3 linked regions of the Schizosaccharomyces pombe genome follow. The protein of the gene in region 2 interacts with the protein of the main gene of each other region in a biochemical or structural test. Each region holds a gene or a part of one and is shown on either strand. Other genes may lie near its edges. The genes, in order: cdc3, cdc12 and act1.

Region 1 (3,601 bases), 2.3 Mb from region 2:
AATTACTCCTCGTGCCACGACTACGACTCCTGATATTTTAATCCATTCCCTATGTGTCTATCTTTATAATAATGGTGTCAGTTTACTTCGTACCCGTGCTATGCTGTGTCATATTTATCATGAAGCATTGCAAAATCGTTTTTACAAGGCTCGTGATATGTTACTTATGTCGCATTTACAAGATAGCGTGCATGCTGCCGACATTGCTACTCAAATTTTACACAATCGCACTATGGTTCAAATTGGTTTGTGTGCTTTCCGCAACGGTATGGTTCAAGAAACACAGTATGCTCTTCAAGACATCTCTACTACTGGTCGTGTAAAGGAACTCCTTGGACAAGGCATACAAGCACCAAAGTTTGGACAATTTACACCTGATCAGGATCGTTTGGATAAGCAGTTGGTTTTACCTTTCCATATGCACATAAATCTAGAACTGCTTGAATGTGTTTACTTGACTTGTTCTATGTTGATGGAGATTCCCGCAATGGCAGCTGCTAGCTCTACTGCTTCAGATTCTAGAAAGCGTGTAATCAGCCGACCCTTCCGTCGTATGCTTGAATACATTGATCGTCAGCTTTTCGTTGGTCCTCCTGAAAATACCCGCGAGTATATAATGCAAGCTTCGAAAGCATTGGCAGATGGTGAATGGCGTCGTTGTGAAGAATTTATTCATGCTATTAAGATTTGGAGCTTAATGCCTGATGCTGACAAAATTAAGCAAATGCTTAGTGAGAAGATTCGGGAAGAGGGACTACGTACATACTTATTAGCATATGCTGCTTTTTACGATTCTGTTTCTCTTGAATTTTTGGCTACGACATTTGATCTTCCTGTTCAGCGTGTTACTGTTATTGTTTCTCGGTTATTATCTAAACGTGAGATCCATGCTGCTCTTGATCAAGTTCACGGTGCCATCATTTTTGAACGTGTTGAGATTAACAAGCTGGAAAGCTTGACTGTTTCTCTTAGCGAGAAAACTGCACAATTGAATGAGGCAAATGAAAAGCTATATGAGCAGAAGACCCAACACACTAATCCTCAGGAGAACAGACGTCGTGATAAGGGTGGCTCGGTTAAAAGACGCAATGAACGCACCGAAAATCGGAATCGTTCAGACATGAATTAAAGTTGTTGTGCATCGGTGAAAAATAGGGCGATCTAATTTCAATAAAATGAATGACTATTTGTCTTTGAAGAAAGTATTTAACTATCAGGTGGTTTCCATAGATCAATAGACATCTGAGTTACTTCATAGTGGTTTTGTTACAAACGTTAATCGGAAATAATGTAGTTTACCGTTTGGTAATTATCTTCAATTGTAAAGATACTTTGCTTCGAAAGTCTGAATCTGTTGACCATTATACACGTTTACAGTAAGCTATTTCTGCAAGCTTTGTTCTTCAGTTTCATATGGTCGCCTTTTTTCCATCGACTGAAAACAGACATGATGTGTGTAATCGAATTTTTGGTCGCTAGTACGAGCTCAATCTATCGGTGTATGGTTTGAAGTTGTTTTCTTTAAAAAATCTATTACTGAACGAAGTATCTCTAATTGTGTTGTTGAACCTCTAAACAAGAGTTCTGAAATTCTATTGAATACTTCTGAAGTCGTATTAAGCATAACAATCCTTACACAATACATTCACACGATCTTGAATGGTAAACCTCTAACGAAGTCAACTGCGATAAGTTTCATATTATTTCTAAAAATGAGGGAAACTTTATAAGAATTTTTTTATCAATGTTAGAACGTCTTAGAGCACCTTAAATTGGTCATAGGTTTCAAACGCATGTAGAACGGGTAGCTGCTACTTTCCGTCACCCTACTACTACAAGTTTTCCTATCTCTAAACCCAGATTTGCAAAAATGTCTTGGCAAGGTTTGTATATCCTCTAGATATTATTACGAATAATATCTAACTTATTTAGCTTACGTTGATACTTCTTTGCTCGGTACTGGAAAAATCGATCGCGCTGCTATCGTCTCTCGTGCTGGTGACAGTGTTTGGGCTGCTTCTGCTGGATTCAATCTTTCTCCTCAGGAAATCCAAGGCCTTGCCGCTGGTTTCCAAGATCCACCTAGTATGTTTGGCACTGGTATCATTTTAGCCGGTCAAAAATACATCACTATTCGAGCTGAAGGACGTTCTATCTATGGTAAATTACAGAAAGAGGGCATTATTTGTGTAGCTACTAAGCTTTGCATTTTGGTTTCTCACTACCCTGAAACAACCCTTCCAGGAGAAGCCGCCAAGATTACTGGTAAGTTTTTCTCAGTTTACTATTCTTAATTAGCACAATTATTAACAACGCAATAGAGGCTTTAGCTGATTATCTTGTTGGTGTTGGGTATTAGATTTTGACATGACAATCAATATTACTGCTATTTCATTTAAATTATCAGATAAAAGTAGTTTTGGATCCTTTCTCATTTTTGAACAGGTTTCTGTTAGTAGGATGTATATCGTTTGTAGAAGATTGCCATGTGTAAATAACAAATGTTAAACTTTTTACTTTCCGTTTGCGAAATAATATTGCGTACAAATTAAAAGCAGTGCAAACATTTTAACTACTAACTTGAGCCAAATTACATTATATGTAAATAAACACAACAATATTTAGATATTTATCTTTTCGCAAAAAAGAGGGTTTGAATAGGAAGAAGTCAGTTCATTAAGTGGAGGGTAACGTGATAGATTTATCTACATAAGCAATTGCAAAAAATCAAGTACTACATATACTTATAAAAATTATTTTACAATGATCCATACACTAGACAAGCCAACAATCTTGACTGTGTAAAAATTCTTTGCAAAAAAAGTGCTCCCGGCGAGGATCGAACTCGCGATTTCCACGTAACACACCTCCTAAGGGGAGTATCATATAAGCATGAGGCCTTAACCAGCTTGGCCACGGGAGCTGTTGCTTGATTTGTAGCAAACTATATAGTATATATAGTGTGTTTCGCAAAGTTGAAAATATGACAAAAAAATAAAAACAAGTTGTAAACAAATGTATTGTTAAGAAGTTAAACGACATTTTCTTTTAATCTTTTGAGATTCTTTTTTTTTTTTTTTTTTTTTAATAAAACTTTGGTTTTTGATAGTTCATTTGAAGAAACTCAGCTTTTCTGAATTTAACAAATTATGTTTGCAATTTACTTACATTATTAAGTGTTTTGGTATATTAAAATGCCAATGAAAGAGTTGAACTGGCCTAATAAATTTTAAAGTAACTTCTAAATTGCTACCAATTTTTAATTATTATTTTTTTTAATATTTTTATGCATTAATAAAACGTGAAAACCCTCGAATTTAAAGAAGTCCCACAATACGGGCAACTATATTTGTTACAAAATAGTGCTACTTCTTAAATTAGGTAAATAATTAGCGTACAGATTTTTCTATTCATTGGTAGACATTCTTCACACCAAGGTAAGAAACAGTGATATTAAACAAAACGTTACTTTTTGATATCCTATAACTTTGACTCAAAACCAAGTCTTCTAGAGCAGCATATTGTAGTTAAAATAACTAATTAAATTAACATGATAAATAAAGTAGTACGAAAATTTTAGAACGCTTTCTTAAACAAGAAG
Region 2 (8,704 bases):
TACGATATCCTTATTTAGTTTTCGTAGTGAATACATATTAAGGGCGAGGCTCTTTTTCACCGACATATATTTAATTTAAAGAAATTTTTATTGTAGATACTAGTTTATGATTTTTGGAAGACTACAAGTAGTAAAATTAAAACTTACCTAACTATTTTAAAACTACATTTTCGTAGTCCATTTAGAAATTATGTATACCTTAATTAGCTACTACATAGTAAGATTGCTCAGTATTGATTTTGTTTACCAAGCTTTTCATCGTTCATTCTTTTTTTTAGCCGATTTCATGCATCATCTTCGAGAGTATCTAAATTAAATGTTTAAATCCACCCACAAATTATTTTTATTTGTAAGATATTAATCAATTGGACATTTGCAATAAAATTATCTATTTATGTGCTGATTTTACATTCGTTAAAACATATAATGTAGTTCATGGTCGTGTTATTAATCACTTTAGACAGTTTAGCGAGTTGGCGTCTTTATGAAATCCGCGTCGCCAGATATTAAGCCGTTCTTGGCATCATAATAATGGCTAAACTTTTTTATTAATTACTTTTATTGAAATTTTTTGAATTCAAATGCCAAGGTTCTTTAAAATTTAGAGATTAAGTAGTACATAAAGAAACGCGAACTCTCGATTCATCATGTGGTCAAAGTTATCGATTTCTTCAAAAATTAATCGTATTCGCGACCCTGAAAGCGATAATACGATTGAAGATACTCACGTTGCTCGTGTAATGAGAAAATACTATATGGACAAAATTGGGACATTACCTGAATGGCTTCGTCCTCCTGGATGGCAGCCTCCAGTTAACACAGGACCTACTTCCCCAGTTAGCATAAATGCAAGTAATGCGGCTCCTTCAAATTTAAAAGCTTCATATATTCCGGCCAATCCTAGGAGGCTATCGTCCTCCACTTCCTCTGCTTCGTCTCCCCCTTTACGACGATTACCTTCTGTTCAACATAGTACCTTTGACGATTTGTTTGAAGGTGTCGGAAGTCTTCAAAAATCACCTTCCACCACGAAACCTCTTTCCTCTACACCTTCCGGCTCATTGCTACGGTCAAAATTTGATCACACTAGAAAGAAGTTTTAGTTGACACAACGATACCTTTACTTTACTCTCATTGGTATCTGTTAATGGCGTATTAATGATCAAAACGACTTTTTGTTTCTTTGAAAATGCTGTTACTACGTATGTGTTATTCTCAACCTCGTTTGTTAATAACTAAGCCCATCTTACCCAGAAGTTCGACATTTGTCAGTACAGAGGCATAATTACTTATTTTACAACTTTGAGTTAGCTCACCTTTTCTGGTTTTTCCTTTAGTAATTATTTTTGGAATGACCTGACAATAAGGTGCACTATCCTAAGCAACTCGCCTTTAGTTTGAGAACTATCATTTAGTCTAATTAAATAACCATCACATGTTCTTTATGTTTCTAACCGGATTGTAGCTTTAAAAATTAAACTGTTCAAAAAGCGCTTGGTAGAATTAAAGCTAGTAGCTGAAATCAATTCAACATTATAAAAACTTATCGTTACATACAGCGCATCGTATAGGTTTCTTTAATTTCTAACTCGAACACTTAGGGACGAATTGTGAAAATTCGTTATTGTAATTTAATATGGTATGTAAATAAAAGCACCAATGGATTCGTTCTTGTGATTCTCGTTTATTTGCAAATTTCTGGTTATATTTAGCTCAACGTGACAACAAAATATGTTACGAATGCTTTGTAAGTAAAAATGATCTTCACGAATGTATTTTCTCATTGAACAACGTTTTAAGCAACCAGAAACCGCATCCAAATGCAGACTAGACTTACAAGACGAGAATTTCGATTATCCTAAAAATAAAATTTAATACGCTATAACGCAATTTAACCATTATAATATTAGATATATCGAAGTTTCATTTCCTTTCAACTTACTTGTTCGCAAGTATACGTATTATCTTAGATCATTTAAGCCATCCCAACCCTTACTCGCTAAGTGTTCCACTTTATCCAAATTTGAAGGTCAACAAGTTCTGAACATCAACTTTTAGCAAATTTAAAAAAAAGGTTTAATTGAGCTAAAACTTTTCATCACAGTTTCCTTGTTAATACTTGAAAACAAGATCCTGAAAGCAATTACAATGCTGCATTCGTTTATGAAGTAGAGATGCGAAATTCGTCAAAGGGACAGGACCCTAATTTTTCTTATGACTCTATTCTGTCTACTCCAACTCCATCAGCCAGAAGAACTATTGGGCCAAGGGCTCCTAAGTCCAAAACAACGTACCATAAACCTCCATCATCCATAGAATCAGTATCGACGTTAATCCAGCCTAATAAGTCCCAATCAGTTACTTCTCCGTATGTAAAGCAATTTACCTTTTCATCGAAAGAGTACAATTCTCATAATAAACATGCTTTGCAAAATTCCCAGCTTCCTTTACCTAAAACACCCGAGAAATCTACTGTCCATCGACCCAAAGCGAATAAAGTTGAAGTCACTGATCTACCATCTTCGTCTTCCGTTGAACATTTGCACACTTCTAAACATCTCAAGGGTCCTAGGTTGCCCAAAAACATTATTAAAAGTTCTGAGGATGTCCAAATTGCTCCAGTGACACCCCCTGTACATTCTCGCTCTTTTGATCCTTTGCCGAAACCTCCTGTTCCCTCAGTTCCAGTATCTAAGACAAAAAGGCGAACTAAGCATAAACTTGCTCCTGTTGTTGAAGTCCCTGAGATTACCAACGAGGTTTCCCCAAAATTCACTTCTACTAATGATGAACAAGTTTATCGACTACGTTCAATTCGAGCTGGGAGCCCTAATTCGGTATGCTCGTTTCAGTTTGAAATTCCGAGTACTCGACCACCTTCATTGGATCAGCTAATACATCTATTCAACGATTTTTTAAGACACCCTGTATTTGATTTTGACGAAAACGCCATTGAAATGCTTCAAAGTTGTACTCCAGATGAAAAGTGGTGTTTTATTCGTTCTAACTTCGCCGGGTTTGATGATCCTTCTTTCCAAATTCCAGAATTAGCTGCCGTCCATAGACCTGTTTCCTGGTTCGTAATCCAACTATGGAATAAAACAATTAGTAATTTACAACTTATCACACTTTCTTCTTTATTATCAACTCAATCCGATCGATGGATATCTCTTTTTCTTGAACTGCAGGGACTTCGAGCTTTGCATAATCTACTTACATATTTTAATTCGTCTGCCGTAGTGCAGCCTCAGCAAGCTGAAGTTCCTCGTTGCATGCTTACTCTTTTGAAGAAAAAACCTACTCTGGTTACTTCCAATTCTTATATATTTCAAGCAATAACAGTGACCCTTATATCCCCAAATTTGCTTCCGAGGAAAGTAGCCGCAGATTTATTGACATGGGTTCTGTCTTTAAAGGAACCTCTTGTGGTCTCCATATTGGAAACTGGATTTAAAGAAATAAATGCCGAATATGAAAAGGAGGTTCCGCTATTCTTTGGATGGATAAAATCTTTCAAAGACATAATCTTGGAAAAAGAATTAGCACGAACCCCTCCATCTTCTCCTGCTCGAAATTCTGCTTCCAGCTCACCTTCAAACATAGCGTTTCTTGAGTATTGTACTTCCACTATGGAATTTATCAATCAGCTAATTGTTGCTTGCGAAGAATTGGAGCAAGGATTTGACCTTGATATATTGGATTCCCTTCGTGAATCAGGTATACACGAAGTTATACAACTTCTACGTAACTTTCCTGACCAACAACTTGAGAAACAACTAAACATATATGAATCAGAAGAAGAGAGGAGGACTATAAGTCAGACCACGCATGAAGATGTCGATTCCTTTATGTCAAATGAATCCTCAATTTTAAGTAGCTTCAATGAATTTGCATCAAATGAAGTTGGCCGTTTACTTGAATCAACTATTCAAAACATACTACTTGCCAAAGGTACTGAAAAGCAAAAGGTGAAACTTATCAAGGTTTTTAACTCTTTACTTCAAAGAATACTGCTCAATTCAAAAGTATCCAATGAAAGTTTTGAAGATAGTTTACAGGCATCTTTAAATATGCTAACCGAAAGATTCTATTCGGATGACACAGCCAGAAATGCTTTGAAGGAAGCAAAGGCGTCACGTGCAATGGCTGAGAAAATGGTTATTGAAAGAGATGCAATGGCTGCGCAAGTAAATCTGGGTGCCGAAGACTTAATTGCGAAGTTAAACAAAGAAGTAGAGGATCAGAAAGACGTTATTCTTTCTCAGAAAAGAACGAATGAGACTCTAAAAACAGAAATTGATGCTCTCCAAAAGTCTCATGTTACTCAAATCCAAAGGAGCGAAGTGGAATTACGAGAATTGTATCTTCTTATCAATTCGGATTCTTTTCAGGGCTCAACTAATTCCAAGGAAAGGATTATAGAATATTTGTTGGATAAGCTTGACTTGAGGAAAAAGGAAATTGCTGCAGAGTCAACACTTTGGTCAAACGATGGAATTGATGACAAACTTCGGGATCTAAGGGAGCAAATGTCTCGACAGTCCAGCCAGCCCTCAACTGTGTCAACTATTTTACAAATTCCTGATAAAAAATTTCATCGTCCATTCCCTCGTCATTTACATCGATATGTTGGTCGTTCAGCTTCTGAATCGTTAACCAGTGAAAAGGATGAGTCCATCAAAAGTATGAAAGGAATTGATGACTTTGCGAACTTGGAGATTCCGGGAAAGGGTATTGAGTCAAACGTCGTAATAAAGGATATTTCAAATCAAACGCATGAGATTAATAGCGTTGAGAACAAAGCAGAAACAGTTAGCAACAATAGTAAAATTACGAACTTTGATATTCCTAATGATGCAACTTCTTTACCAACGATAATTACACATCCAACTCCACCACCACCTCCTCCTCTTCCTGTTAAAACTAGTTTAAATACCTTTTCCCATCCTGATTCTGTGAACATCGTTGCTAATGATACATCGGTTGCTGGGGTTATGCCTGCTTTTCCACCACCACCACCACCTCCTCCTCCCTTAGTAAGTGCAGCTGGAGGTAAATTCGTATCCCCAGCTGTTTCAAATAATATATCAAAAGATGATTTGCATAAGACTACTGGTTTGACTCGTCGACCAACTCGTCGTTTGAAGCAAATGCATTGGGAGAAGTTGAATTCTGGGCTGGAATTTACATTTTGGACGGGACCTTCTGACGAGGCCAACAAAATTTTGGAAACCTTGCATACATCAGGGGTCTTAGATGAATTAGATGAAAGTTTTGCGATGAAGGAAGCAAAAACATTGGTCAAAAAAACATGTGCTAGAACTGATTACATGAGTAGTGAACTTCAGAAGCTTTTTGGTATTCACTTTCACAAGCTGTCTCACAAAAATCCGAATGAGATCATTCGCATGATTTTACATTGTGATGATAGCATGAACGAGTGTGTTGAATTTTTATCAAGTGACAAAGTACTAAATCAACCTAAATTAAAAGCAGATTTGGAGCCTTATCGTATTGACTGGGCAAATGGTGGTGATCTAGTTAATAGCGAAAAGGATGCTTCAGAGCTTAGTCGTTGGGACTATCTTTATGTGAGACTTATAGTTGATCTTGGGGGTTATTGGAACCAAAGAATGAATGCACTAAAAGTTAAAAACATAATCGAAACCAATTATGAGAACCTTGTTCGTCAAACAAAACTTATAGGGCGGGCTGCTCTTGAGCTTCGGGACAGCAAAGTTTTTAAAGGTTTGCTATATTTAATTCTATATTTAGGAAACTATATGAACGATTATGTGCGCCAAGCTAAAGGATTTGCCATTGGTTCACTTCAAAGACTTCCATTGATAAAAAATGCCAATAACACTAAAAGTTTACTTCATATACTTGATATAACTATTAGGAAGCATTTTCCTCAGTTTGACAACTTTTCCCCTGAACTATCAACCGTCACTGAAGCAGCCAAACTGAATATTGAAGCGATTGAACAAGAGTGCTCCGAGTTAATTCGTGGTTGTCAGAATTTACAAATAGACTGTGATTCTGGGGCTCTTTCCGACCCTACGGTATTTCATCCTGATGATAAAATCCTTTCAGTTATATTACCCTGGTTAATGGAAGGCACCAAAAAAATGGATTTTTTGAAAGAGCATTTACGTACAATGAATACTACCCTGAACAATGCTATGAGATATTTTGGTGAACAGCCTAATGACCCTAATTCCAAGAACCTGTTCTTTAAACGTGTTGATTCTTTCATAATTGACTACTCTAAGGCTAGATCTGACAACTTGAAATCGGAAGAAGAAGAAGCTTCACAGCATAGACGTTTGAATCTTGTCAACAATCATAAAGAACACGTGCTTGAACGTGCAATGTCTGAAAATAACAAAATGGATAATGAAGCAATGGATGGTTTCCTTGATAAATTGAGAAACGTCAAATTAGAAAGTCACCATAAACCACGAAATAGATCCGCCATTACTATGGGTAAAGAACATTTAATAGAAGCTCCTAACACTTCTACTAAATCTAGTCCTGCAAAAAACGAATTATTTGTTCCTAAGAGATCTTCGGTAAAAAGTGACTTGGCAAAAGTTAGGCCAAGGTATCCTAAGGGTAGTGAATCAACCGATGGATTATCTGACGCATTAAATATTACTCCAACGAAAAAAGGAGAAGTATCTAGCAAAGCTAAAAAGGGATACAACTACGAAAAGCGTCGTTCGGGCCGTCAGGTATCTGATAGCTATGTCCTTAACAAAAATTCGAAGAATAAAAGTAATAAGGGTCGCTCCGCTTCTTACACTTTTTCTGATCCAAGCAGTTTGGAAGATTCTAATAGGCAAAAACCCTTTAATGGTGAGAAATTTCGAAGGTTTAGTTCAAAATCAAGAAGAGGTTCACAAAACCGGGATTCTAAGAAGACGGGTAAAGCTCGAAAGGATAAAGGTATAAACAATAACCAGACAAGCCCTCAGAATAAACCGTCTAAAGAATCTCTAAAATCTGATACTATTTCAAACGAGAAGAAAGTATTTCCTCAAAAGGCTTCTAAAGTTAATTTGCTTACGCCGACAATTTCAAATGGTACTAGGGCAAGTAAACATGCTAACGAAAAGGAGAATACTTTTCCTCGTGGTGTCGAAAATAATCTGGTTGCTCCCATGATTCCTAATAACACCGAACTTAATGAAGATACCAGCGCTGTCTCTCGGAACTTAGAAAATGCCACCAATGACTTGAAGGAAACTTTTCCGACTACAACTACGATTTCAACAGCCAGAGCTAAACCTGGTAACAATGATATTAACACTATTTTACGAAGAAACAATAGCCGTGGCCGTCGACGCATGTTGCAGCAAATGAGTCCTTTGAAAAGCAATAAATTTTCGGGAACTAATGATTTGAATTTTCAACAAGCTACTAAACCAGACGGCAGCAATAAGTCCTCATATATGGAACGTCTGGAAAAATTGAAACAAAACTCTGAACGACATCTTCAATCAGTAGGAGGTAAGAAGGTTTATTCTTCTGAAGAAACGCCCGTCAACAAAATATTAGTATCGCCTTCCGTTTCTATTTTGGATCATAACCGAATCTTAAGTCAAAGTACTCCTATCAAATCACCACAACGAGCACAAGAAATGCTTGCAGGTTTATTATCTGGAAAATTGGCGCCTAAGGAGAATGAGAAATAGGTTAATGATGCAATCTTTCTACCATTGCATAATTTTTTTTTCTAATTTTGGAAGTTAGTTTAGTTGGAAGATTGCCCTTTTTTTGAAGTGTGTATCATGTTCATCATTTTTAATAGAAAGAGCTGGCTCGTTTGACATTTTGTCATATTTCTTTAAAAATCTTCTTATGAGTATGTAAATATAATGATTTAAATCCCTATTCTATTTATCATAATGTCTGTTGCGCAAATTGATGTAGAACTCTGTAAAATTTTTCAATCTGAAGTAAAATAGGACTAATGTTAAGATGAAAATCGTTTAGAAATCATTCGATGTGTGCTAATGTTTCTTCGTTTCTTTTATAAAGTGACGAATCATTGGCGAAGACTCACTATTTAAATATTGCTCAATTATATTTTCGGTGTAATTAACTTGTTACATTTTCTAAGGCAAATACATTGTGCTGTTGCAGAACTGTCTTTTCGAGAAACATACTCTGATTGATGTATCGTTGGTAGAATGGTAGAACACGAGCATGCATTAAGTCAAACATTCTACAAAATGAAATTTCAATTATTTTTATACACATGTTGTTTTTCGAGAAGTCTAAAATTAGTCTACGCTCGAGTAGTAGCATGTATAATTCAGTAAATAGCATAACTATTAACTATTGAGATTGTTTATGTGCTTAATCTTTTTTTATAATTTAACTAGTGCTCATTGAAATAGATTGACGACGAGCTTTTTAAACGCTTTAACTACCAACTTGCGCTGACCACTCACTATTGGTTTTAAGTTCAACGGATTTAGAAGATTAGCGCGCACATCTTGACCACCGAACTACCCAACACCAACGTTGTGAAAATTTTAAATTCGTAATCTTTCTTTGAAAATTGGAATTATTGGTATATAATTAAATTTCAGAGTCTACATTACTTGGTTTAAATTTAAACCGAGTTTTAGAAATAACAATGAGCAATTCTCGAAACATTGTAATTGTCGGTGGTATGTGACTTTAAAAATAG
Region 3 (3,978 bases), on a different chromosome or scaffold from region 2:
ACATGGGATTCAACAGATTTGGTCTGCAATCCTCTGGTCATGGGGAGATCTATTATCGAAGAAAGATTTGACTCAAAATGTGGGGCCTGGCATTTTTGCAGGGGGACTTATCGCCTCTTTCATTTGCTTCGGGCTTTCCTACGTAACATTCGCAGGTTTACCTGCTTTTTATCGCCAAGCTCCTTCTATCATTCCAGCGTTTTATCGTTCATTAGGAAAACGAAATATTGTAATTTGGTTTTTTATCTCTCAAATTTTAATCAATTACTGGCTTGCTGTCCCTTATGGCCAGGCTTGGAGGTTTTTCTGGAATACTAGCAACACTCCTTTGTGGAGCATAATCATTCTTTTACTCATTTTCTTCATCGTGGTTTGGGCCGTTCTCTTATCAGTTATAAAGATTTTGTCTCTTAATAACGTTTGGTTTCCAGTGATATTTGGATTGGGCCTCATTTGTCCACGCTGGTGCTTAGAGTTTTGGTCATCCTCGGGTCTCGGAATTAATTTACCATGGGCTGGTAAGGCTTCTGCCTTGCTGACGAAGTCAGTATGGCTTTTGCTAGCTCTATGGGACGGGATACAGGGAGTCGGTGTCGGTGTAATGTTACTGCAAACCCTGGCGAGAGATCATGTTGCTTTCACGTTGATGCTAGCGCAAGTTATAAGTTGTATTACAATTATGATCGCAAAACCTTCTCTGCCTGTAAGTGATCGAGTATTCCCAAATCTTGGTGCATGGAATCCTAGCGAAGGACCGGGACCTTGTGCATCACCTTGCTTTTATATTGCACTAATATGTCAATTTGTAGCTGTTGGAGGATTGCTCTATCACTATCGTAAAAGTCAGCTTGCTCTTTAGTGTTTGATCTACGATAATGAGACGGTGTTTGGGTTGTTTTTACTGAATTTTTCTTTTATTTTATGACATCTTAATTTTTATGTTAATGATTATTCTTATACTTTTATCTATCTTTGATTAAAACTAATATTCATTCTTTTGATCACTAATTATTTTTATAGTATACGATTCAACCCAACTATAATACATTGTATCAAGAGAAATTTTTAATTAGATGTAATTTAATAGCCATTTGATAAAAAAAAATTACCTTTTTTTTTGCTAGTGTTAAATTATTGATCATAACAATGTCGAATGAATACTAATAAAATAGGGACACGCGAGTTGCAAATACTTGAAATACCTTTGAAGATTTGTCTGTGAATTTTGATAAGATTTTTATGACCATCTCTTTTATATTCGATATCGTGAACTTTCATTTTCTTTTGTTTTTTGCTTTTCAAGTTAAATAACGCGGAAATTATATTTCCTTATATGTTTATAAGAGCTTTTAAAGGATTTGCTATATCGCTTACAGTACTACAACCGGTTGCTCAATGTTATCCGTTTCCGCGGTCTTCTTCCGTGCGCATTCTGCCGTGAAGTGCTAACGCTGTGTGTGGCTTTATCAAAAAAGTGGCTCAAATATAGCAATTTCATACATATTTAAACACCCATTATACTTAAATGTATATTTTAAAATATATAAGAGATTTTCACTGTATAACTGTGTATCTTATCTATATGTAATCAACGGCTTCATACCACCTCAGCCAGCCGTGTTATAACTTACCGTTTACCAACTACATTTTTTGTAACGAACCAAAAAACCCTCAAAAGACAAGACCATGGAAGAAGAAATCGCAGCGTTGGTTATTGATAATGGCTCTGGTATGTGCAAAGCCGGTTTCGCTGGAGATGATGCCCCTAGAGCTGTATTCCCCTCGATTGTCGGTAGACCCCGTCACCATGGTATTATGGTAGGTATGGGACAAAAGGATTCCTACGTTGGTGATGAAGCTCAAAGCAAGCGTGGTATTTTGACCTTGAAGTACCCCATTGAGCACGGTATTGTCAACAACTGGGATGATATGGAAAAGATTTGGCATCACACTTTCTACAACGAGCTTCGTGTTGCTCCTGAGGAGCACCCTTGCTTGTTGACTGAGGCTCCTTTGAACCCCAAATCCAACCGTGAGAAGATGACTCAAATTATTTTCGAAACCTTTAATGCACCTGCCTTTTATGTTGCTATTCAAGCTGTTTTGTCTTTGTATGCCTCTGGTCGTACCACTGGTATCGTCTTGGACTCTGGTGATGGTGTTACCCACACTGTTCCCATTTATGAGGGTTATGCTCTTCCTCATGCTATCATGCGTCTTGATCTCGCCGGTCGTGACTTGACTGACTACCTTATGAAGATTCTCATGGAGCGTGGTTATACTTTCTCTACTACCGCCGAACGTGAAATTGTTCGTGACATCAAGGAGAAACTTTGCTACGTCGCTTTGGACTTTGAGCAAGAACTTCAAACTGCTGCTCAATCTTCCTCCCTTGAGAAATCTTATGAGCTTCCTGATGGTCAAGTTATCACTATCGGAAACGAGCGTTTCCGTGCCCCTGAAGCTCTTTTCCAACCCTCAGCTTTGGGTCTTGAAAACGCCGGTATTCATGAGGCTACTTACAACTCTATCATGAAATGTGATGTTGATATTCGTAAAGATTTGTACGGTAACGTTGTTATGTCTGGTGGTACCACTATGTATCCCGGTATTGCCGATCGTATGCAAAAGGAGATTCAAGCCCTTGCTCCTAGCTCCATGAAGGTCAAGATTGTTGCTCCTCCTGAGCGTAAATACTCTGTCTGGATTGGTGGATCCATTCTTGCTTCTCTTTCTACTTTCCAACAGATGTGGATCTCCAAGCAAGAGTATGATGAGAGCGGACCTGGTATCGTTTACCGTAAGTGCTTCTAAGCTCCTCTTACTTTTTGTAACGTTTTTTACATACTTTTGAATAACATCGATTCTTCTGATATATATAAATTTCAATCTTTTTTTACCTATTTAACCACCTTTTTCCGCTCTTAACATCTCATGAGGAACTTTGGGTATCAATTATTGGAGTGTTTTATATACTTTCTGATTACTATCGTTTTCTTGCTCTGTTTTCTTTTTTTCATTATAGACGAATGCAGAGCTAGCCTTTTACATATTGAAGTTACAGAAATATTTCCAGTAGATACCTATGATGTTACTTCATTCGCTTATAACTTCCCGTTTTCTTTAACATGTTTCTTCTCGAGTCCGGCCGATTATTTTTGTCGATATTTTCGTTATGTTTATCGCTGTGATTATCGATTAAAGAACTGTAGTAAATGAATTTTACTTACTCCCGTTAATTTTTACGAATTTTATTTTGTACAAGGTGGTAACTGCGAGATAGTTAGAAGCGGAAGTGGTGCAATGTACTTCATCAGCCATTTCTTTTCGTCCTGTAGAGTTGTATCATCTTCAGTACTGATTTAATTGGTACCTGAACTTGTATAACTTTGAAGCCAAATGGTTGAATGTGTTTTACATTAGTATTAGCAAAAGTTTATTAGGTCAAAAAAAGATTTAATACATACATGGTATATGATCATTGTTGGATAGTATAGTTGAGGTAAAATTCTTATAAATTGTAAGACATTGGTATGATTAGTGTTCTTCAAATATAAAAAGAGAGGAAGTAGTGAATTATGAAGCTGTAGGAGATGGAGCCCGATTAGCCAGTTGTATAGTTGAGCGATTAATATATAGTGACAAAGTAATTTGGACTGACGACGCCTCTCTGTATAAACAAATCCAATGATATTACATTCCTATGACTTTATTTAGAATTGTTTCGTCAACATATATTATTACAAGAGATTATTATTTTTTTTTGTAGTATTATGATAATATTAAAACCATTGTTCAAAGAATAAGAGAAAAATGTTAACCATATTAAATAAAATAAGTTGCTGCTGAAACATGGAAAGAAAAGATCCATCGAAATTTGCAGAACATGTATGAAAAAGGATGGCCAAGACCCGGTGCCTGAACTCGTGACAGAGTATAGACGCATTAAAACGAACGTTAAATGATGTTGATGAAAAA

What was found.
Region 1: the proteins of cdc12 (region 2) and cdc3 form a complex in vitro, tested with the Schizosaccharomyces pombe proteins (2 studies listed by BioGRID).
Region 3: the proteins of cdc12 (region 2) and act1 form a complex in vitro, tested with the Schizosaccharomyces pombe proteins (one study listed by BioGRID).

What each region holds. Positions count from the first base shown.
Region 1 is NC_003424.3:2,577,748-2,581,348, reverse strand, and holds cdc3 (profilin), read left to right. Parts: upstream 1-1,823; 5' UTR 1,824-1,870; coding exon 1,871-1,883; intron 1,884-1,932; coding exon 1,933-2,265; intron 2,266-2,321; coding exon 2,322-2,359; 3' UTR 2,360-2,393; downstream 2,394-3,601. Other genes in the region: tif303 (translation initiation factor eIF3c), read left to right, coding at 1-1,129; SPOM_SPAC4A8.14 (ribose-phosphate pyrophosphokinase), read right to left, coding at 3,577-3,601. UniProt on the Schizosaccharomyces pombe protein: Binds to actin and affects the structure of the cytoskeleton. At high concentrations, profilin prevents the polymerization of actin, whereas it enhances it at low concentrations. By binding to PIP2, it inhibits the formation of IP3 and DG.
Region 2 is NC_003424.3:281,302-290,005, forward strand, and holds cdc12 (cytokinetic formin Cdc12), read left to right. Parts: upstream 1-2,042; 5' UTR 2,043-2,174; coding exon 2,175-7,700; 3' UTR 7,701-7,899; downstream 7,900-8,704. Other genes in the region: exocytic docking protein Mso1, read left to right, coding at 648-1,103; SPOM_SPAC1F5.03C (FAD-dependent oxidoreductase), read left to right, coding at 8,651-8,684. UniProt on the Schizosaccharomyces pombe protein: Plays a role in the cell cycle. Involved in cytokinesis. Component of the cell division ring. In the absence of profilin, caps the barbed end of actin filaments, thus preventing subunit addition and dissociation.
Region 3 is NC_003423.3:1,474,985-1,478,962, reverse strand, and holds act1 (actin Act1), read left to right. Parts: upstream 1-1,629; 5' UTR 1,630-1,686; coding exon 1,687-2,814; 3' UTR 2,815-3,478; downstream 3,479-3,978. Other genes in the region: spore wall alpha-1,3-glucan synthase Mok12, read left to right, coding at 1-859. UniProt on the Schizosaccharomyces pombe protein: Actins are highly conserved proteins that are involved in various types of cell motility and are ubiquitously expressed in all eukaryotic cells.